Linked DNA regions of Lytechinus pictus. The protein of the gene in region 1 binds, or shares a complex with, the protein of each later gene. Links are inferred from orthologs where the notes say so. Each region holds a gene or a part of one and is shown in the gene's direction. Other genes may lie near its edges.

What was found.
Region 2: actin-related protein 2/3 complex subunit 2-like (region 1) and actin-related protein 2/3 complex subunit 4 share a complex: the UniProt entries of both Caenorhabditis elegans proteins name them as parts of the arp2/3 complex. The link is inferred for Lytechinus pictus from reciprocal best matches to the Caenorhabditis elegans genes arx-4 and arx-6.
Region 3: actin-related protein 2/3 complex subunit 2-like (region 1) and actin-related protein 2/3 complex subunit 3-like share a complex: the UniProt entries of both Caenorhabditis elegans proteins name them as parts of the arp2/3 complex. The link is inferred for Lytechinus pictus from reciprocal best matches to the Caenorhabditis elegans genes arx-4 and arx-5.

Annotation. Positions count from the first base shown.
Region 1 is NC_087257.1:14,507,600-14,514,864, reverse strand, and holds the start of actin-related protein 2/3 complex subunit 2-like, read left to right. Parts: upstream 1-4,258; 5' UTR 4,259-4,421; coding exon 4,422-4,495; intron 4,496-7,265. UniProt on the Caenorhabditis elegans protein: Functions as actin-binding component of the Arp2/3 complex which is involved in regulation of actin polymerization and together with an activating nucleation-promoting factor (NPF) mediates the formation of branched actin networks.
Region 2 is NC_087247.1:40,228,973-40,236,563, reverse strand, and holds the start of actin-related protein 2/3 complex subunit 4, read left to right. Parts: upstream 1-4,532; 5' UTR 4,533-5,389; coding exon 5,390-5,392; intron 5,393-7,591. UniProt on the Caenorhabditis elegans protein: Functions as actin-binding component of the Arp2/3 complex which is involved in regulation of actin polymerization and together with an activating nucleation-promoting factor (NPF) mediates the formation of branched actin networks.
Region 3 is NC_087246.1:16,006,848-16,014,804, reverse strand, and holds the start of actin-related protein 2/3 complex subunit 3-like, read left to right. Parts: upstream 1-4,888; coding exon 4,889-5,018; intron 5,019-5,755; coding exon 5,756-5,832; intron 5,833-7,957. UniProt on the Caenorhabditis elegans protein: Functions as a component of the Arp2/3 complex which is involved in regulation of actin polymerization and together with an activating nucleation-promoting factor (NPF) mediates the formation of branched actin networks.

The DNA of each region.
Region 1 (7,265 bases):
CAACTATCTTTATAATTCTTAGAGCGCTAGCTGAATTTTTTTTATGTTTAGACCTGGAAAAGAAAAATTTTAAGGATTTAATTTTTTGCGTATAGTCATAAACAGGATGCAAATCCTATAAATTGGTGATACACTAACCTTAATGAAAAGGGGACACGTATCTCATTTATCAAGTAAACATAAAAGAGGCGTAATGAGCCATAAATTTTGAGCGGACAAGATATGGCGTATCGGGTAAAATTAATACAAAGTTATGAGAAGGCGAAGCAAGCGAAATTTTAACATTTTTATTGCAAAAAATCAATTTTGTGGTAGTGTTTGACTTAATATTAAACAAATGATATCATATTTCAGATTCTCTCTTTCCTTTTCTCCCTTTTTCTTGGTCGTGACCTTTTTTGTGGGGGGGGGGGGCCAAGCCCCCCCCCCCCATCTGTGCACCAGTAAGATATAATGTGAGTGAAAAAGTGCGATCTTCTATTTATTATTCATAGATCGGGGGGGGGGGAATTATTGACTGTTATAGAGAAATTCATTAAGATGATACAAATATCAAGCAAAAAAAAAAGGGGGAGACGAAAGAAGGAATAAGACAGTCTAGGTCTGCATGCCTGGGTCGTGTAAAATATGAGGTCACATTTAGGTTGCCCCCCCCCCCCCCCCCCCGTGTAGAAATATTCCCTAAGAGGAGACATTGAAAATGTTTTTTTTTAATTGGGGCTCATTTTATTCATTATATGTAAATTGTACGAGGAAGAGCAAAGACTAAAACGCATCTTTTCTCTCCGCGCCATCAACATCTGCGCACTTCCTGCCATGTCCCTGGGAAGCGGGGGGTGCTGGGGGTGCTGCATTGAAGCACCCCCAACATTTTCCTTGGGGTGCTGCGTGTATTATTCTCCAGAGGCAGCACCCCCAGGTTGTCCGGAAGATGTTTAAAAGTGGAAAATATAACCAAAATTACCTTTTAATAATGTAGTGAAATCCCCATTTTTTGCTTTGTTCTCCATATGTTGTTGTGAAAACTTTTTTTTTTTTTTTACTTTTCAAATTTACATCAGCACCTCCAGTAAAAACTGTGGGGGTATTGGGCAGCAGACCCAATACCCAGGCAAAGAAGAAGAAGAAGTAGGGCCTACCTCTCTCCCTTCTTCATGTTCTTGTTCATTGAGACCACATTACGACTGTTCGCGATCCGATTTTGGAACAAATCGCATTTTGCTCATTTTCTGAAAATGTGAATGGAACAAGTCATTTTATTTGAGGTTAAAATTAATTGAAAGAATACCAATATAACCATTTTGTAAGATTGTAAGCCTTTAAAGGCCAAATTTGTTTCAAATCGTAGCAAATCGTACGACTGCTATGACGTCATTACGACTAACGTTATTAAACATTCTAGGAATTAAGGATGATAGCATAGTCACATATTTGAATATAGGGATTCGTACGATGATCTCGAACATATATTACACAGTAAGATATTCCAAGTCTCAATATTAGCATCGAATTCTGCTACGTTTTATTCCAAAATTGAGTCGCAGACCAATCGCAAGGTGTGCGGTCGCCTTTATAATGGTGAGTGGTGAATTATCGGATGGTCTAATACCACTTAGTCTACTTATCAGTTCGTCCAACTTCACATAGTCTAAACTCATTTCGTCTAAAACCAGTTCGGCTAATATCCAATTCGTCTACTTCCCCGCGCACTTGGTCTAATTTTCATTTCGTCTAATTTTCATATGGTCGAATGACCGTTTGGTCTAATTTCCACTTGGTCTAATATCCACTTGGTCTAATGACCACTCGGTCTAATAGCCAAATGGTCTAATGACCACTTGGTCTAATAGCCAAATGGTCTAATGACCACTTAGTCTAATAGCCGAATGGTCAAATGACCACTTGGTCTAATAGCCAAATGGTCTAATGCCCACTTGGGCTAATCGTCACTTGGTCTAATTTTCATTTGGTCTAATTCACACTTGGTCTACTGTCCATTCATTCTTATATAACATCATTCATTATTATTCATTTGATCTAGAATTAACAAATATATTAATGGATAAATAAATACACCATGCATCAGTTAATACATGCCGCCAGGATCCGGAGGGGTAGAGCCGCGGGGTAGGGCTGGTGGGCGCTGGAGGACTATCGATGAATTATTCCAATGAATCATTCTAATCAAATATAATTCTCATAATTAGGCCTATACATGTATATCGATTATATAGATGATGGTGAAAATTATATCAAACTCATAATCATTATCACCTCATGTACATTTTACAGAACAATATAAGTTGGGACCTTGTACTATAGCTTCTTATAATGGTCGAATGGCGGGGTTTCATCAGAATAGCATTATTATGAAGAAAGGAACGAAAATATAATGCAATTGATTGTGTGGATACGTATCAGGTTAACATGTTTATGCCTCTTATACCAGTTAGATATAGTTTAATAACACTATACACATACAGGTTTATTGGGTTCCATCTTGGTAGCAGCCATTTCTCGATTCTAACCTTCTTCGTATAAGTGGTCACGTGTAATAACATAGTATAGTCTACGCTTGCAGGCCTGTATCAGTTATCATCACAGTAGTCAGTCATTATCTACTCATTGGCCCGTATTCTGAAGTCGGGTTTAACTTAAACTCAGGTTTAAAGTTGTGGTTTAAGTATGGCGAGCCAATTGTTACATAAATTACTAACTGTAGAGATATCATACTTCAGCTCATTTGGCTCTCAAATAATTCATACATGTGTAATTGTCTAGGAAGTATAAAAAGATTATTGGCTTCACCATCGATGAATCAGGAAAGAGCACAGTAAACATAAGAAACATACAACTTAATGACAAATTTGATACTATTGGCTATTCCCATACTTAAACCACAACTTTAAACCTGAGTTTAACTTAAACCCGACTTCAGAATACGGGCCATTCTGTTTTTTGTTTGTTCTTCTTCTCCTCCTCCTTAAAATGGATTGACAGGGTTAATTCCCAGCCCATCAGGGAAATCAAGAAAATCAGGGATTTTAAAAAACATTTTTCCAGTCAGGGAAAAATCAGGAAATTACCTCAAATCAGGGGAAAATCATATAAATGAGGGCAAAATCAGGAAATTTTGATCGGCCCAAAAGTCGAAAGCACGATAGTCCGTCAGACTCTGTTATATTTTGTTGTATATATATCAAAACAATTTATTGAATGACAGGTTATGGTGTTCTTTTTTTTTAGTGTAGCCTCTTTTACTACAGTACAAGTACTGGTACATATGATTAAAAATGATAATACATGCTATTAACAAACAATATACGTAATCAACTGCATCATCTTAGAAAACATGAGAAACTGGGAATGGGTTTGAATAATTATCAGGAAATTTTAAAACCTTATTTTTCCACCTCTATGAACGTATATTAGCGTTTAATATTTCACAGAAAAATAGAAAATTTTATTGTTTTTCACCAAAACCTTCAAAAAATCCCCATTAACAGACAAAAGAAAATCCCCCAATATTTTTTTTAATCCCCATATTTTCAAAATTTGGGGATGGAAATATACCGTCGTCACTCTAACTGTACTCCAACATCGAGGGGCGCACGTGTGAAGCTTCGAAGCCGGCGCGCGGAAAGTAACTTTAAGATTTTCACCAGAAAATTGATAACAAGTCACTAAACTTTACAAATTAGACCAAGTGGCATGTAGACGAAATGAATGTTAGACTATCTGGAAATTAAACAAAGTTGAAATTAGCCGAAGTGGAAATTAGACCAAGTGGAAATTAGCCGAAATGGAAATTAGACCAACTGCACATTAGACCAACTGAATAATGGACCAAGTGAGGATTAGACCAACTGCACATTACACGAACTACAATATAGACCAAATGAATAATGGACCAAGTGAAGATTAGCCCAACTGGGCATTAAACCATTTGGCTATTAGACCAAGTGGTCATATACCAATTGGCTATGAGACCAAGTGGTCATTAGACCAATTGGCTATATATAGACCTTAAGTGGTCATTATAGACCACTTGGCTATTAGACCAAGTGGTCATTAGACCAATTGGCTATGAGACCAAGTGGTCATTAGACCAAAAGAGAATTGGACTAAGTGCATGGGTAATAATAGTCTGAATGTTGTTAGCCCATCTGACGATTAGACCAAGTGATATTAGACCAACCGTCAGTAAACCTTTATAATCACCCCCTAGCAAAAATAAAGGACTTATCGCCCTCTCGTCAGTAGAGGGCAGCAAACACAACTTGTTTTCACTTCCTTCTATTTCTCTCTCGCACAAACGTGAAGTCGAGCGTCGCCCACCTTGAGAAAAAACACCTTTTTTCCCCGGAAAGTGCTGGAAGAATCTGAAAAGTTCTATTGGGTACTGGAGACACAGCATCAAGATGATTTTATTAGAGATAAAGAATAGAATAATCGAAGAGACACTTCTAAATAAATTCGAAGCAGCGGTAGCCGGGTGAGTAAGGAAGTGATTTGGGAATGGGTTGCCTCCCATCTTTGTGCGTACACTGGGGTCACGGTCCCATTCTGAGAGAGTCGTGTTGTAGGAAGTGTAACTACACTGCTCGTAGACTGTACTCTGTAATCTGTATGTGTCTAGATCAGCCATTCTCAATTACTTTTTTTGAAGCGCCACATTTCTTGTTGAGTATCTGTAGTGCGCCACTATATCCATTACACCAGCAAAGTATTTTAGAAGGGGTCTAGAGGCCCTTGGTGGGGGTCGAGGGGGCAGAGCCCCCAGAAGTTTTTGAATGTTAGGCCTTTTAGATTGCCCAGAGGGGCTTTAATTAATATCAACAGAAGAAATACGAATGCCAACAAACTACACATTATATTTATCAAAAGAAAAATGATTAGTGACTTTTTCACAACATACCAATGAAACAACTAGTTCAGACTGTTCTGCAACAGATCTATTGGCTGAAGCAAGTGGCGTAATGAGTAAAAAGAAAATGAGGGGGCTAAATATGGCAGCTGAAGCAAAAATGTTGAGCTTTTCAATACAAAAATCTATATTTTGACATAATATTAAGAAAACAATACAATATTCAACTCTTTCCCTTTCCTTTTCTCCCCTTGTCCTTGAAACACTAGGGGGCCCCAATCCCCACCCCAATCTGTACGCCAGTGGCTGAATTTACAGTCCCTGATTTTCAATGGGCCGAAAATTAGGCGTTGCACTGCACTAACGCCAAAAATTGCCCCCCCCCCTCTCTCTCTACAACTCGTGTTAAACAAGAGTACATGCAGGCAATCGTGGCAGGCAATACATCGAGCATATTTCACTTTTACAACTTCGGATTTTAATCGGCTTCGGAAAACAAAGTTTCTGCTTGTTATGTCCCTAATGGCCTAATTCATTATCTTTTATTATCAGGATGTCCTTTGAATATCATATCATTTCATATTTAACTCTTAAGCAAAACGTATACTCAGGAAATGCAAAATTACTCGCCGTAGAAATAGAAATCCTACAAGCGGGGCTTTCAAATCACTTGTGTGGCACATAAACTTTGTAGCATAGAATAAATAAAAAGAACACCATCGATCCTCCATTATAAGGATTATCGAGTGCTAAATTTGACAAAATTTGAGGAAATCAATAAGTACTTAAGTTTCAAGTAAAGATTTTTTGCTTTCTTTTTGTATTAAAATGATCACCAAATCCTCATGTTACTGGTATACATTTTTCTCCCCAATTTTTCCTTATTTTTTTTATACCGGCTCCCAAGCGCCACTCCACAAGGCTCGGTGCGCCACCATTTGAGAATTCCTGGTCTAGATCTAACGTTAGATCTACCAGTATAGTCACGTATTGTATTACCGGACACTATTATGATTCCGGACGCGCATATTACTGCGTTCTAAAACAAATTTGTACCGTAAGACTTCCGCAATTCGATTTCACAGAGCAATACATAGAACAAGATTGCAAAAACAAGGCAAAAAATCCAACTTTTACCTAATTATCTCTAAAAATGAAAGAAAATGCTTAAAATATCATATAACGTAGTTTTGTATTAACAATTGATATATTTTCTAACGGAAATATGGGCCTGATTTTGCCGAATTTCAATCTCGTCCACTCCTTCGATCGAATGATGAGGTGTGGTGAATTGTGGGTGATCATCGGTGGCTAGTTCTCAAGGGTTCCGGGACAGCCCGACCACCGGACAGCCCGACCCTGGACAGCCCGACCCGCTGCCCTGGACAACTCGTCCCGGTCGAGTTGTCCAGGGTTGGCTCTGAATCGGACAACTCGACCACTTGAATTCTTCTTCAACATTTCAGGTGAAGATTGAAAATGGTCTGATTTGCTTTATCAGAAGAGGTGCAGACTGCAGAACTTCAAATGTTATATGTTAAATTTTCTGTCGAGAATGTATTGTAGAAACATGGATTATGCGGGAAAATACTTTTGAAGTAAAGTTTGAAATTTTATTTCATGAAATGTTGAAGAAGAATTCAAGTGGTCGAGTTGTCCGATTCAGAGCCAACCCTGGACAACTCGACCGGGACGAGTTGTCCAGGGCAGCGGGTCGGGCTGTCCAGGGTCGGGCTGTCCGGTGGTCGGGCTGTCCGGACCCCGTTCTCAAGGTACCCGTGCGCGAGGTTTACCGTGAGTAGAGCCGTCGGCAGCGTATCGATAGAACTTGATAAGCGTCACGATACGAACGCGAGCATATTATTATTGGAAAGTGCCATGGAACATGCAGCTAACAAGACAAAATAGATAAGTTATCAAACACAAATTTATTACCAACATCTGCTCAGATTCGATATAAAAAAAAACAAATAATACTTAGAATTTACTCATGATATGATATAAGAAGAAAAAAATCACACAAATTTGCTCTTACATCATTATAATCAAGGATATCTTTACCCGTCCGGCGCGCGTCCGGAATCATGATGTAATTTGTCGCGCACGAAAATAATTGTTTTTCGTGGAGGGGTATGCGGCAAGTGCGATGCAAAGAAAATTGTTGGTAAATATAAAATAATTTTATCATATTCATAATTTTCATAATATTTGGAATAGCGGGTGTGAATTTTTCTTGATTGTATTTCCTCTAGTTGTCATTTTTAAAGCACTGAAATAAAGGTGTCCGGCAATAGGATACACTGCCATACCACGACTTTTACTAGGCTGAGTTGATAGTTTAGTTAAGTGTGTGTGTGCAGGAGAAGGTAGACAATGTTAGATTATATTAAACTTTAGG
Region 2 (7,591 bases), on another chromosome or scaffold:
TTTCGGTGAGTCTAACCTTTTTGCTCTCTTCGAACGCTTTGAAGGTTCTTTATATTCGTTCGCGCGAAGGCTACCCCACATCAAGAAGTGATAGCGATACCAGATGGAGTCTTCTCCGTAATCTTGGTCTTTTTCTCGATGATCATGCACCTTCCGCGTTTTATTCCTCCTGGGTGTGTCCAATTCCTTGTCACTTGTGTCCCCTTTCGAAAAACCCTCTTTGAGGAGTTGAAAAAACAACTGCTTGCCGTAAACGACAACATCGTTGATGAATGCACCTCTCCATCTCTCGCGTTCCATAACTTTGCTGACTCCTTTCACTTCCTTGATGCGTTTCTTGAGGAATTGACGAGCGATGTTACCCCACCGTCTAACGCTCGGACCTTCGGGCATGATGCTGCCGGCGACACACCTGCAATCAACAATAGACATTTGTGAATATAATTTGAAAGACAAACATGCCTGTGCCAGAAAACTGCGGTATAATTTTAAAATTCGACACCTATATAGCCCCCCCCCTTCAAATTCATCTGAAAAAAAAAATTTTAATCATCAGCGATGATGATTGGATCTATCATACTAATACCAATGTATTATGATGTATCTATAGTATACATAAAATTATCGATTAGTATAAACGTATATGCAAATCTAGGGGCAGGCGAATGAGTATATTATAGCCGCACCCCGGGGCCGCACCCTCCCATTGACGTCGCGCAAAGGGAAAATGGAAAAAGGGATAAGAAGGGGAGAATTAAAATAATGATGATAAAAAGAAGAAAAAAAAGACAAGTGTAAGAAGTTAAGTGGATAAAATAAGGACATGGGGCAATAGGAAACTGGAAGAAATAAATAAGGTCACTAAAGGAAATAATAAATTTTCGCTCGCGCTTCGCAGTTTTTTTTTTGAGATACGAATGCATCCTGTTCATGATCTCACTAATGGAAAAGGGTGCTTAAAATGTCCTTTTCGGCATGTTCAGATCTGGATATAAAAAAAATCAGCTTACGCTTGCACATCAAAGTAAGATATATTCACATTTTCATACAAGTCAAACATGTGCTTAAAACATTCTCTTTTCAGGACAGTATCAAACATTTTCAGCACGATCGCGCTTCGCACTAGATCTGCATCATGCATACAGTATATAGCCCGGATATGTAGGCCATGAAAGATATGCCACCCCCCCCCCCCCCACTGAAAATATCAATCATGAAGATAAAAACCTGAAGATAATCTTTCATGATTCAAGGCCTGGGCAAGTAGAGACTAACATAACGACCGACTTTATGGATATGCTTTGAGTTTCATCTAACTCCTGATATCGGTCTTCTGTACTTTTTTTGATAATATCGGTGACATAAAAACAAATACGCCCCCCAAAATTAACAAATAATATATAAGAAAAATCCTTAAACAATTAAACATGAATCATTTTCGTTTATCACAAAGTTGCTGTTGAAGTTGAATTGGCGTTGCACAGCGTCTACCCGGCGTCTACCCTTATACATGTAAATAGATATGGTCAAGTTCGACCAGGGCTTCTACTTCTACGACAATACTCAGCAGGATCCATAAGTCAGGATGTGGATCCAGCTGATGCAGTCGCTTGTGGACTACTCCAGAGGACTTCTGTAGGTTCTGTATAGGAGTGACTCCACGTCCCGGCTCCACGTGTAATTGCAAATGACCAAAAAATGCAACTCGACCATGCCGACGACCACAACAATCATATTACGATATTCTCTTGACCCTACAACGCATTTTCGACTTACAAAAAGCGAGCAGAACATTCATCGGTCACCTCCTACAGATTTCGGCATCAGTTCCTTTAGCACTTCACCAATACACTTATATCTTGACCTTTCGTATGTCCAGAGAGTTGACCAACGCTCCCGCACTCTTCGCTTGGACGTGTCCGATACTGTATACAACAGACAATAACAAAAGATCTAATCAAATGTTGTATTGTTTGTGGCCCCTGTTTAATGCCGGATGGGCTGAATGATGCCTGTTGAGTATAACGTCGCGCCCCGGCAGTCGTGTGAAAAGGCCGCCAGGGGGTCGATGTTTGCAACAAAGCCTGTACTTTGTATACAGTTAGAAACTCTATTTTTACATCCTTCCTCTGGCTCGAAACAAGCTTCTATATTTTCCTTCATTTATTTTTTAGGTGAATAAGCTTGATATATGTCCTCGATCCCCGAATCTTTGATTTGACGATTACATTATACACAATGAATAATTACACATTACACAGTTTGTGTCAATTGTAAAGAATCTACTTGATGAATAATGTATTGACTCTGTGCATAAGCCATTCGAGACCCTTCATCAGGTACCTATATCATTAACATTTTTTTTCACAATATCGAAATATCATACGGCCTTATTTAGAACATTTAAGACGTACAACTAACAAAGTAACTTTATCTACAAAAAAAATCAAAGATTAATTCTAGTGTAAATGGGACAAAATATATGCCTACTTATGGCAAGTTAGGGTAGTTCGTAAACAAAGGCATGTACATCGATTTTAGTTCCAGTCTTAAGGATGACCACCCCCCCAAAAAAATAGTAAAAAAATAAACACTGTAAAAACAGACGTACAGAGAGACAAACAAACAAAAAGGGTAAACGTGGATGAAAAATTTTCAGCCCTCACCCTACCCCGCAGACAAGAATAGAATCTGCTCCCAAATAGATCAAGTTGTAATTTTTAATAGTTTCCTTCTCCTACGGCAAAATATACCCCCGGCCCCCGATGTACTTAATTTTTAATTCTAGAGCGTTCCTATTTCCGGTATGACGAGGCCCTCCCCCTTTGTAAAATAATTAATATCGAATTAAGACTGCCATGATAGCTTTTTATTCAAGCTCCCTTTAACTCTCACGTGTTATATGAATATATTTTTTTTTTACTTATTGCTTTATATTTTGGTTATACTCATAGCAGGGCTCCACACTAACCCTTTTTTTCTACTGGTCCAACCTATTCATGTCGGACCAGTAGATACCCAGTTTTTCAATTTTTTACTGGTCCGAACCTAAAATCTACTGGTCCCAAAAAATAAAGAAAACATTAAAAAAAGGTGTGAGTTTATTTTGCTGTCCTTTCTTGTTACCCCCCCCCCCCAAAAAAAAATGAAGGAATGAATGAATGAAAGACAAAAAGAAAGAAAGGAAGAAAGAATAAAAGAAAGGAAGGAAGGAAGAAAAAAGCAAAGGTAAAGAAAGGATAGATGTGAAGGAAGGAAAAAAAGAAAGAACTAAAGAAAGAAAGAAGGAAAGGAAGGAAAGAAAGAACAAAAATAAGAAAGAAAGAACGAAAGAAAAAAAGGAAGGAAAGAAAGAAAGAAAGAAAGAAAGAAAGAAAGAAAAAAAAAGAAGGAAAGAAATGATGCAAGCAATAAAGAAAGAAAAAAACAAAAGACAGAAAGTAATGAAAAAAGAAAAAGGAAAGAAGCAATAAAACAAGAAAGAAAGGGTAAAAGGAGAGATGGAAAGAAGGAAAAAAGAAAGAATAAAAGAAACGAAGGAAGAAAAAAGTAAAGAAAAAATGTGAAGGAAGGAAAAAAAACCAAAGAAGGAAAGGAAGGAAAGAAAGAACAAAAGAAAAAAAGAATGAAGGAAAGAAGGAAAGAAATGAAGCAATCAATATAGAAAGAAAGAACAAAAGACAAAGTAATGAAAGAAAGAAGGAAAGAAGGAATAAAAAAAGAAAGAAAGGGTAAAAGGAGAGATGGAAAGAAGGAAAACAGAAATAAAGGATTGAAAGAAGGAAGAAATCAAGAAAAGGGAAAATGATAGAAGGAAAAAGGAATGTTGGGAAGGAATAAAGAAGGAAGGAAGCAAGCAAGCAATATAAAAAAAAGAAAGAAAATGTAAAAGAATAAATGAAAGGAAGAACAAAAAAGAAAGACCAAACTTCAAAGAAAGAAAGGAAAGGAAGCAAGCAGTAAATAAAAGGAAGAAAGAAAAGGTAAAAGGATAGATGGAACAAAGGGGAAAAAGAAAGAACAAAAGACAAAGAAGAAAGGAAGGAATGAAAGAGAGAAAGGGCTGAAAGAAGGAATAAAAACAAGAAAGGGTAAAGAAAGGATGGATGGAATGAGGAAAGATAGAAAGTAACAAAGAATGAAGGAAAGAAAGGGGAAAAGAAGGAAGGAAATTAAGAAAGAAAGAAGAGATAAATATAGGATGGATGGACTCAAGAATTAAAGAAAGAAGGAAATCAAAAAAGAAAGAAAAAGAAAGAGCATTAGAAATAGAGAAAAATATTAACAGGACAGAAAGAATGAAAGAACAAAAGACAAAGAAAAAGGGAAAATTAAAAAAGAAAGACAGTAAAAGAAGAGAGGGAAGAAACAAAGAAAGATTGAAAAGAAAGAAGGAAAGAAAGATTGAAAGAAAACAAAGGAAGAAAGCTAAAACTATCATCATAAATAAATTATCAGTTTCTTTTTGGCTCAATTAAAATATACTAGTACTAGCTACAAAAGAAACCAAGTGTATCAACACACACACAAATGCATATGTGGGGCTATCATGTATTCAGACGATATCACTCGAAACCCGATCTCTTTGAACTAAAACAGAAGTGAAAATTTCTCCTTTTACTGCTTACAAATGACAGAGTTACCCCAATTTTGGCAATTTTTTAGGAAATATGGACATTATAAGAGCTTTTCATTAGTGTGAAATGTGAATTTTGACAGTTCTGTGAGAGATTTCTGCCAGAGGTTAGCCAAGCAAGCTTCGTCCGTGCAGCCAGTAGGAAATTTACCATGTGGGCTGTGTGGCTGGCTAGCCACGTGTACACTGTATGTTACCCTATCAAAATTGCATGCGATTCATTCTGTGTGTGTTCTGTGTGTGAATGCCAGAATTCAACGGGAGGAAAAGGGTTCGCAATTTGAGTCATGGAATATTTTTCATGTTTATGTTGGACTAGCGAATTTGACCATTTCTGAAAAAGTTACTGGCCCAACAATAGTTTTTATTACTGTTTATGTCGGACCCATAAATCTTGCTATTTTTGGAAAAATTACTGGCCCGACAATATTTTTTACTGGTCATGTCGGACCAGTAAATCTTGCTATTTCTGAAAATCTACCGGTCCGACAGTGATTTTTACCGGTCTGGGACCGTCGGACCGGCGCTAGTGTCGAGCCCTGCAGTCATAGAGATGTATACATCTCTATGGTTATACTATATTCGTTCCTCCCACATTCTACGCATCTTCTCGATTGCTTCCCCACCACATTTTCGTCGTTGTTTGGGTTTGATCACTCTTGTTTGGCTCCCTCTGAGTTGAAATCAGGAGAGGCATTTCGTGCTGATGACCGGGCGTTTCCGATCCTGGTAGTGTAGGAAGTGCGATAAAAGATGGTATGTATTATTTATTTTAGTAAAAAATAACTTTGTGAATCGATATTTATCGTATTTTCACTTTATATGTAACCATTGGCAGTCAGAGGCTTGTTGTCAAGTTTACTGGTAACGCCCTAAAAGGTGTCTAAATTGAACGCGGAAAAGGATGTCGAATATCTCACTTACGCCTTTATGGTCGAGGCACAGTTCATCCACGGGAGCGTTCTGGCCTGGCTTGCCTGGTGGTCTTCGCTACCTGTCCGTGCTGCGCCGCTGTCCATTACAATTGACTTCCGGTTATCCAAATAATTTTGACATCCCAATATACCATAAAATAGATGCCTTAATCATGTAATTTAAATTGAAAATATGTATTGTACAAAGTGATCCGAAACAGAACACACAGAGTTTCAGCTTCATAGTTCATACAACTTGAACTATTACAACAAAATAAAACTAAAACTAAGTTTAACAATAACATGTTTAAAACTAACCCAGAGAGCTCCCGCCCGCGCAGCGGGCGGGAGCCCAGAAGCTTACCGTGTATTTGACCATATTCACCGGACTAGGGTGATTTATGGTCTAAATATTTCTCCAAATGAATTGTGAAAACAGAAAGTATACAATTACCACGATTATATGGATGAAGGTCTAACGAGTGGCAGATTCCTGACATCTGGGCACAGTCTGGAACCTCAAAAAAACGAAAAGTTCTCTCCTTCTACCCCGTCTCGATCGGCCATTTTTGTTAAAAATCGTAACAAAATGGCCGATCGAGACTGGGTAAAAGGAGAGAACTTTTCGTTTTTTTGAGGTTCCAGACTGTGCCCAGATGTCAGGAATCTGCCACTCGTTAGACCTTCATCCATATAATCGTGGTAATTGTATACTTTCCGTTTTCACAATTCATTTGGAGAAATATTTAGACCATAAATCACCCTAGTCCGGTGACAATGGTAAAATACACTGTAAGCTTCTGGGCTCCCGCCCGCTGCGCGGGCGGGAGCTCTCTGGGTTAGTTTAAAACCTGGCAAGGCCTAGCCAGGCGGCTTCTAGAGAGTAAAAATCATTTACTAACGTAAGGTCACTCTCATGAAGCCAGGCCTTCTATCCCATAGACCCACACAATGGAAGCCAAAACCTGAAACTTTCACCCCCGAGATTTCTACTTTCCTTCTAAAAGATCTAGCTCTAAATCATGTACATGGGATAAAACTTCATTTCCGACATTTCTACGCTCTCGTTGTTATTTTTAAAACAAGAATTCATCAAAAAAATGAAAAAATATTGTGAAAAGACGGAAGAGACTTGCCCGATGTTTACGCCGCCATCTTGTTTCTTATTGTACTTCCCCAACGTTACGGACGCGAGCGTCATGATCCCAAAGTCAAATTCGCTTTACAGAATTATAAAGTAGGTCAAGGGTTTTGCTTGTATCGTGATCTCAAAATTCCATGACGATAGACTAGTGCGCGCTCGGCTGAAAAAAAGTGTCGTGAAAAATTGTGACCCTAATTTGCATGTCACGATCGTTCTGCAAAGCTTTAGAAAAGAAATCAAGCAGACAAAGGTACATGTAAGATAATTGTATCAAATGGAGGTTAAAATGCCATAAAATTGGTTAGTATCACATGTTTGGAGACCTTTGATTTCTGACACTTAACTCTCATCCCCATTTACCGAAAGTAGTACGTTAGTGCGAGCCCTCGTGTGTAATCATTTCTCCCAATTCGGGCCTTTCGTGTTTTGTCTAGATTTAATTTTTTTTTAAGGTCTAAATGACATTATATTATCTTGAACGATGGCCTTTATTTTTGTTAGACTATAATCTTTCTTTTGTTACAACAAATTTTCTAATAAAATTCGAAAATATATGTTACCGATGATTTATTCCTTTATTTTAAATTTGTATGTTGCTGCCCTCTACGTTAGTTGAGTTAGGCTTTTATCAAGGCTTTCTGATTAGAATTTTCTATATCCTGGCCAATCAAATGCGAGCGAAAAGTTCTGAACGAACGCACATAGACAAGCGCAACGCAGGGGCAGGTATCGCGATATATGGCGACTGGTAAATACGTCTGTAAGGATGATAACGTCATCCAAGATGGCAGCTTATGATGACCAACGAAAGGATCGAGGATGCCTATGTTTTGATCATCATTTGAAAGGAATTAGCGGTAACCCGGGGGGGGGGGGGGGCACTCAGTATATAATGCT
Region 3 (7,957 bases), on another chromosome or scaffold:
TCTCTTCTTTAACGTGTTTAAAGAATCTCTCCCTTGTTTCAGAATATGCAAACTAAAGGATTGCATGACCAGGTTTTTTGTTCTTTGGCCAAAATCCTAACATATTGTTTGCTATTTAATGAAATAAAATGCAATAAAGTGTGTGTGACACCACTCCACTCAGCTTTGCATTGCCTTATTCACCGTTTTGGGCACCATGCGAAGTTTGACATGCTCATATTTTCTTATTTCATTCAATTTTGAATAGTTTGAATAATATTGGAAACATGGGGTGTGATTTGTCTATCACTTTGATGCATAAGTGGATTGATCACAATTTGAATTATGCCACAGCACCCACACATTGTGAATATTTATATCATGTAACCACTGAAAATTTGCTATATCAGGTATTAAAGTCCTATATATATACTTTAATTAATTCAAAGGAATTTTTTGAATTATATGTTTCAGAATCTCATTTCATTTTGTACTTCTGGTATTTCTGAAGACATACATGTAATATATACATGTTAAATCATTTACCTCCATTGTTCAATTAAAGGAATTATTTTTAGAACTATCTGTTTTGGATTTTTCATTTTGAACTTCAAACATTTCTAAAGACTTACATGTAAATTGAAGGAATAATTTTGGAAGTACAGTATCTGTTTAAAAAATCTTATTTCATTTCTAACTTCTAATATTTCTAAAGACATGATTAAAGTTATTTAAATCCATGTGGTCTGCCTCTCCTTTTTCTCTTTTTGATAATAGGTTATATTGGAGTTTACTATAGGCCTACATGTCTGATATCATGTGGTTTGTTCAGTCACAGAAAAGGAAATACTCCGCCTCTATAAACTAAAGCCTTACTGCCCCCCACGCCTATATAAACCATCGCGATTTGTAGTTCTTGTATGTAAGAAGTGGACTTTATTTTTTTTTCTTTGAAATCATGCATGGAAAATGGGGGAGAAATAAGTATATTGAATAATGTGAATTATTAAGGGACAAAACGTAATAAAAAATGAAATTGACTTCTGTTTACATTTGTTTGTTTTATTTTATTCCTCTGATGATCCAGCTGGCACAAATAACTTTGAAGTTATATGTTTACTTAAAATGTTAATTTATAGCAAAGCAGTTTAAACAAGTTGCAATGTAATTTTGTTTTCCCCGAAAGGGGGGATAACGCCGGGGATCTGGCTTGAAAATACAATGTGAGACATTTCAGGAAATATGTGTTCTTCACTGCTATTTCAACTTATTCATCTTTCCATAATAATCATTTCATATGATTGTGGTCGTTTTTTGTGGGCATCATCGCGGAGGGAAAAAATGGTTTAAAAAATATATATAGGCCTATATGAGCATGGTGAGTTCCGTCGTGTTATCGCCTTCTTCCTTAACGTATTCATTTAGAATTCCATCGCAAACCTAATTTCTTCACAAAAAATGGGCTATGCTTAAAAGGTACTCACTCAGCCTCAAGCGTAATATTCTGCCAAAAATCATTGCTATATACAGAACCCTGGCTACTCCCCCTCCCCCCCCCCAAAAAAAACCTTGCAACTCGTTCCATCTACTCAAGTTATAACTCGTTCCCTCTACCTAATAACGCGTTCGTTTGTAATTTCTTTCCAATTATTCTTCTCCCTTTCCCCCATTCATTTTCTTAATTTCTTCTCTTATACTCATGACTTCCTCTTATCTTTCTCTTCCCCTTGGCGCCGCCAATATGGGGGCACCCACCCCCCCCCCCCCCCATTGATCCGCATTTGCAAACATGATAATGAGTAGACCCAACAAGAAGGCTTCTTTTTTCTAAACAGTGGTATGGTTTTTTAGTTAAAACTGTATTGGCCGTCTTGAAATGAATTGCCACGACACCGGACTCTGTGAAAATCAATGGAAATCCCCGAGTTTTAACATAATTATTTGAGGGTCAGCATGTTATTATTCTGTCTACCATCGAGACGCAAAGACTCTTCTTGTGTACGTACCGTTCAGCAAATTTTTGAACTGGTGATCGGGGTGACGACAGATATGGTGAGAAGGGGAATACACTTAATATTGAACGTCTAGAAAAAAATATGATAAAAAAATAACTTAAACAATTATACGAAAACAAAACAAAGGAGCACATTGAGAAAAGAGACCTATCTTTACACACTCCCCCTATCATTCAGCAAGATACGATGACAATTTTCAAAAAGTGGTATAGATATTATAACATCTGCTTATACTTTTACAGAATTAGCTCCTGAGAACATTCCTTTATAGGCCTACTTTTACAGTGAAACCACTCATTTCATTTCATTTTCATTTAGGTTTTATTTCCACAAATCCGTTATGTTACAAAACTTAACTGACATAACTAAGCTGAGCAACCATTACAGACGTAGACTATATAAGTATAGATAGCAAGCATTCTTAATCACTACATATCAATACATGTTTAAGTACATAAAAAAACGGAAAAGTGGAGGAAACCTTGGAAGCAGAATGCTTGTAGATAAGGTTCCCTTTTTTATACAGTACATTTGACATTACTACTTAGTAATAATACACGTGACAACATTTTATCAATTAAATTACACCCACAAAAACAACACAACACAGAAACGTGACAAAAAACAAAGAAAGAAAGAAACGAAGAAATAAAAAAACAAAAGAAATAAAGTAAGCAGCTGCCATCCAACAGAATTTAAGAAACTTCTGGATAATAAGCTCTGTGGACAAAAATGCAATAGAGCATGCCAATAAATAGCAATTTCAGTTTGTTTCATTATATCGAAGAAGAAGCTTTGCTTTCAAGTGATGTTTGAAAATATTATAATTTTGTAGTTGCTTAAGTGTCATATCCAAGGAATTCCAATAAACTGGACCAGTATATACTATCGTTCTTTTCCTAAGTACTGTTCTCAACCTATGCAAGTGAAAGAATGACGACTGTCGGGTAGGGTAAGTATGCAAATGTTGATTCTTTTGGAATAGTGATGTAAAAGCATGAGGAAGATCATTTGAGTTCAATTGAAACATGAAACACCCTAAAAATAAATTATATAAATCATGCACCTTTAATACTTTATTGTTGAAAAATAAAATGTTTGTGTGACTTAACCTGTCAGAATGGCAAATTATTCGCAATACCCGTTTTTGAAGAATTAACAATTTATCCAGTTGGTAATTAAACGAATTACCCCATGCAAGTATACCGTAGTTCAGTGGTGCACTCAGTGGTGCACAGGAGGGGCGGGGCTTATGGAAAAAGAGTGCAAGGAGAAGGAGTGAAATGTAATATATTTTTCTATTATCTCAAAATTTGTCACAAAAAAAAGAGTCCCCGTTTTTTTTTATATAGAATGTCAAAAAATTTGCTCCTCGCTTTGGAGTGTTCCAAATTTTTTCAGTTTTATCAAGGAATTTGTGGTCGCTATTTTATAATAGACAGATGGTCCTTCTAGATCTATACAGGTAGTAAAAAGTTGCTAGGCTTATAGTAGACAGCTGGCAGCCGTCTGTTTCTTTCTACCTCCATGGTTTCGAGGAGTTTTTAACATTTTAAATTTCTCCTCTGTATTTGGTGAGTGGAGCCAACGGAGTTCAGCGAAACAACCAACATAACAGAGACCGAAGCATTTGGTCTAGTAATCTTTTCCAGTATTGTCAAAGAGGTACATGCGGGAAGGAGGGGGGGGGTGTGTAAAGTACATGAAAAAGGGGCCCAAATACACCATGTGCAGCTGTGTTTTGGAGCGAGAGAGCACACGCCCACTCTCTCTGATACGCAATATGCGCTACGATATGCCGCCGCGCGCGCCGATGAGGAGTATGTACCGCGGAAGTGTCACACACGGAAGTGAGAAACGACGGCTCAATTGTTGTCCACGAAAAAGACGGAGATTTCATTTTATTTGCCGTGAAGAATCCATATTTTGAAAACCAAAATGCCGGTGAGTGTTCTTACAATTGATATTATACCCCTGTCTTAGCTTGGTGCTCATACATTTAATATTTAACCTCAAATTAACGTCAATATTTGGGTTGAAACTTACATACAGTCGCACTCGTAAGGTTTTGTGTTGTGATCTTCTCAAGGCAAGGGAAACCAGTCTATTCGAATTCAGCCATGCTTAGGGCGTTAGGCTTGGTTTCAGGACTTGAAAGTTGAAACTGGGACTCGGACTGGGTGGAGTCAAGCTAATGAGACAAAGGAGTAAGGCAATTAGGGACTGGGCAAGGCGGGGCTCAAGACCAGGCTTAAAATTGTGTAGAAAAGGGAGCTGAGACTGCATCGACTGAGTCTGAGGATGAGAAAAGTAATTAAATTTAATTCAAAATGAACCAAAGCTCAGTCAAAGCCAAGCAGTCATGGCAGTAAACATTAATGACTGGTAGATTTTAGATCTAAAGCTACATGTTTGTGGAGGAGAAGAATGAAGCCTTGAAGTAGGCGAAGGAAGCGAAGCCAAGCAAGGTCAAGGAGAAAGGGAGGAATTGATTTTAAAAAAAAGATAGGTCTAGATCTGACTAGAGAAGGGGAAAGAACAGCATGATGAAGAAAGTTAGATAGAACTTGGAAGGCAAAGAGAAGAGAATGAAGGAGAAGAAGAAAGAAAATAGAATGAGATACAGAAAGAAACAAAATGATAAATTATTGAGAAATATAGATGGAAATATTAGATGTTTCAGCAAGGAATTTACAAATATATACAACCTGTACCGGTACTACATGTAAGTAAAAACTAACATTTTCTTATTCATGTCGGTTAATTCATGTATTTTTGTTTATTTTTCTGTTTTACATGATGATGTTTTTGCTGGTCTTGATTTCTACTTGTAATTTCAAGTGTTGATGAACAGTTTGGTTACTCCCTGAAATTGGCTTCCCAGAACCAATGCTATGAAATCAATGTCCAAATTGCTTTGTCATATCCAGGCCTATCACTCACAGTTGAGTACCAATATGAAGATTGGAAACCTGGCCCTTCTACCTCTCAATACCAAGTACAGAGGACCAGCACCACCTGGCAGTAAGTTGACCCATGTTTACTAAATTCTCAAATCCATAAGCATTATAGGCCTACAACAGTAATCAAGTTCTAAAAGACAGGAGGCTAGAAAGAGACTACCTTACTCTGGCATAATCATCCATTAGGGGAGATTCACTAATGTCATGGCTTAAATGGGTTTCAAGTGTGATAGAATCATTTCTATTCTATATTTTATATTTGTCTAATTCTTCTGAAATTTATTGTATCTATTAGTAAATCACACAGGGCCAGTATTCTGTGAATTATGATCTCTCTAATATCTTACTTCTTTAGCTCTAATTGTATTTCATTCTGATTCTTTTGACATTAACCCTTAAATAGATCGAAAGAAAATGTCTAAATCATAACGATGAAAGTGTAACTTTATATCATTGCTCAAGCACTTAAAAAACTACAGGAGTAGTCCGCACTCTAATTCTTATCATTTTAATTAATTATAAAAGGGTAAATTTCACTTCAAAATGAGAAACATTTTAATTGGTTAATAGCCATCCTTGGTTACAGCATATATATGAACTTGACCTTTTTTGTTATAGGGTTGGGTGAGACTTATATTTTGAAGTAGTTATGTAGGTACTTGTATCTTGTTATATGATTTGTGAATCAATATCATTCCTCTTTTTCTTTTTTTTTGTAAATTGCTGCTGATGAATGTTTCTTTAGAATTAGATATTACGATCTTCATTATTTTTTTTCTATCTTTCATTCCCTCTAAGCTGGAGAGAATGACATCGTTGATGAAGCCCTTTTCTATTTCAAGGCAAACGTTTTCTTCAAAAATTATGAAATAAAGGTAGGTTTGATTGATGAAATCTATCCGTCTACTGGTCATTCATTGAATATGTTGAATATGTATGCATTGAATGGATGGATGGATGGATGGACATTTGAAAGAACAAAAGTATGTATGAACTAGAACTGCAATCGTATCAGAATGATGTGCATGCATTGACGCCTGTGATTTAAAGGAGAATGAAACTCTTGGAGCAAGTTAGCTTTTGTGAAAGCAGAAAAATCAAAGAATAAGATCAACAAAACTTTGAGTAAAATAGGACTAGCAATAAAAGAGTTATGAGCATTTGAATGTCGAGATCACTAATGCTATGGAGATCCTCCCATTGGCAATGCGACCAAGATCTGTGATGTCACACACGTACAACTCTCCCATTTGGACACTGAAAATATACCCCAAAACATCTCTTTTTGCTCATTCTAATCATATGACAAACGATTCATCAATGATATAATGTTGTGAAACCTCTGTACTTGTCATCTCATAAAGAGAACACCTCACCTTGTGATAGACTCTATAAAAGTGAGAATATAAGTGAAATAAGTACTAAAGTAATGAGGGAGTTGTACGTGTGTGATATCACAGATCTTGGTCGCATTGCCGTTGGGAGGATCTACATGGCACTAGTGATCTCAATATTCGAATGCTCATAACTTTCTTATTATTAATTCAATCTTCCTCAAACTTTCAACAATATGTTTCTTTGATTTTTCTCTTTGATATGGATTCAGCTGGTTTCAAGGGTTTCATTCTCCTTTAATAGAGGGCAAGGAACAGAAGAGAGAAAACTGTAGATGATATCCATTTTCAAAATATTAGAGGGCTCTATTTCTTAAAGGAATAGTCACTGATGCGTAAAACACAGTTGGATTATGTCAAATGATACAATTGGCAAACCCTGAAAATATGAGATCAAAATAAATTAAAACAAGGAAGTTATGGCAATTTTACTATTTTCCGACTTTGCAATAGAGGACGCTATTTATTAAGGTAATGGTCACTGATGCGTAAAAAACGTTTGAATTATCAGGGATGGTACCCTTAGCAAACTCTGAATATGAGACCATAATGATTGAAAACTAGGAAGTTATGGCCATTATACTATTTTCGACTTTTCAATACAGGGCGCTATTTCTTAAAGGTAATGGTCACTGATGCGTAAAAAACATGTGGATTATGAGGAATGATACAATAAGCATACCCTGAAAAAATGAGACAGAAATGAATGAAAACAAGGAACTTATGGCCATTTTGATATTTCTTTAGTTTGCAATAGAGGGCGCTATTTCTAAATGTAATGGTCACTGATGCGTAAAAAGAATATGGATCATGAAGGATGATATCATAGGCCAACCCTAAAAATTTAAGACCGAAATGAATAACAACAAAGTTATTGTCATTTTACTATTTGTTGACTTTGCAATAGAGGGTACTATTTGTAAATTTAATGGTCACTGATGCGTAAAAAAATTTGTTGAATTGTGAAGGATGATACCATTAGTGAACCATGAAAATATGAGACGGAAATTAATAAAAACAAGCAAGTTATGGCCATTTTACGATTTTCCTAATTTGCATTTCAATAAATATGAAAATTTTGAACGTAGACTATCTTGGATTTGAATTAAGGGCAAGAAGACGGCATTTTGAAGGGCAAGTTGTATATTTATATGAAAGAGCAACTCTTAAACAATCTACTGCAATTTGTTAGAAGTCTGTAGCATGCAGGATTCGGGAGTTAGGACGGGATTAGGAATGGTATGCAAATGGACTTGAAATTTACAAAATGGCGCCTGGATAGTCATGCATGAGTGATTTTGGAAAATGGAAGACGAGGTGCACAACTAGGGATGCTGGACAACATGTCTACCAAGTTTGGATGAATTTGGATGAGGGACGGAGCCAGGGCAGAGCTAACAAAAACCATGTGTTAAACAAATGGGATTTTGTGGAAGAAGAAGAAGATGACGGAATAGGAATACGGAACAACAACAGAGCATTGTCGCCTGTAGGCGTCAGTGCAATGAATGAATAAATGAATAAATAAATGAATGAAAGAGTGAATTATTGAAAGAATGAATGAATGAGTGAGTGAATTAATGAATAGTTTGTTGATTGATCGAAG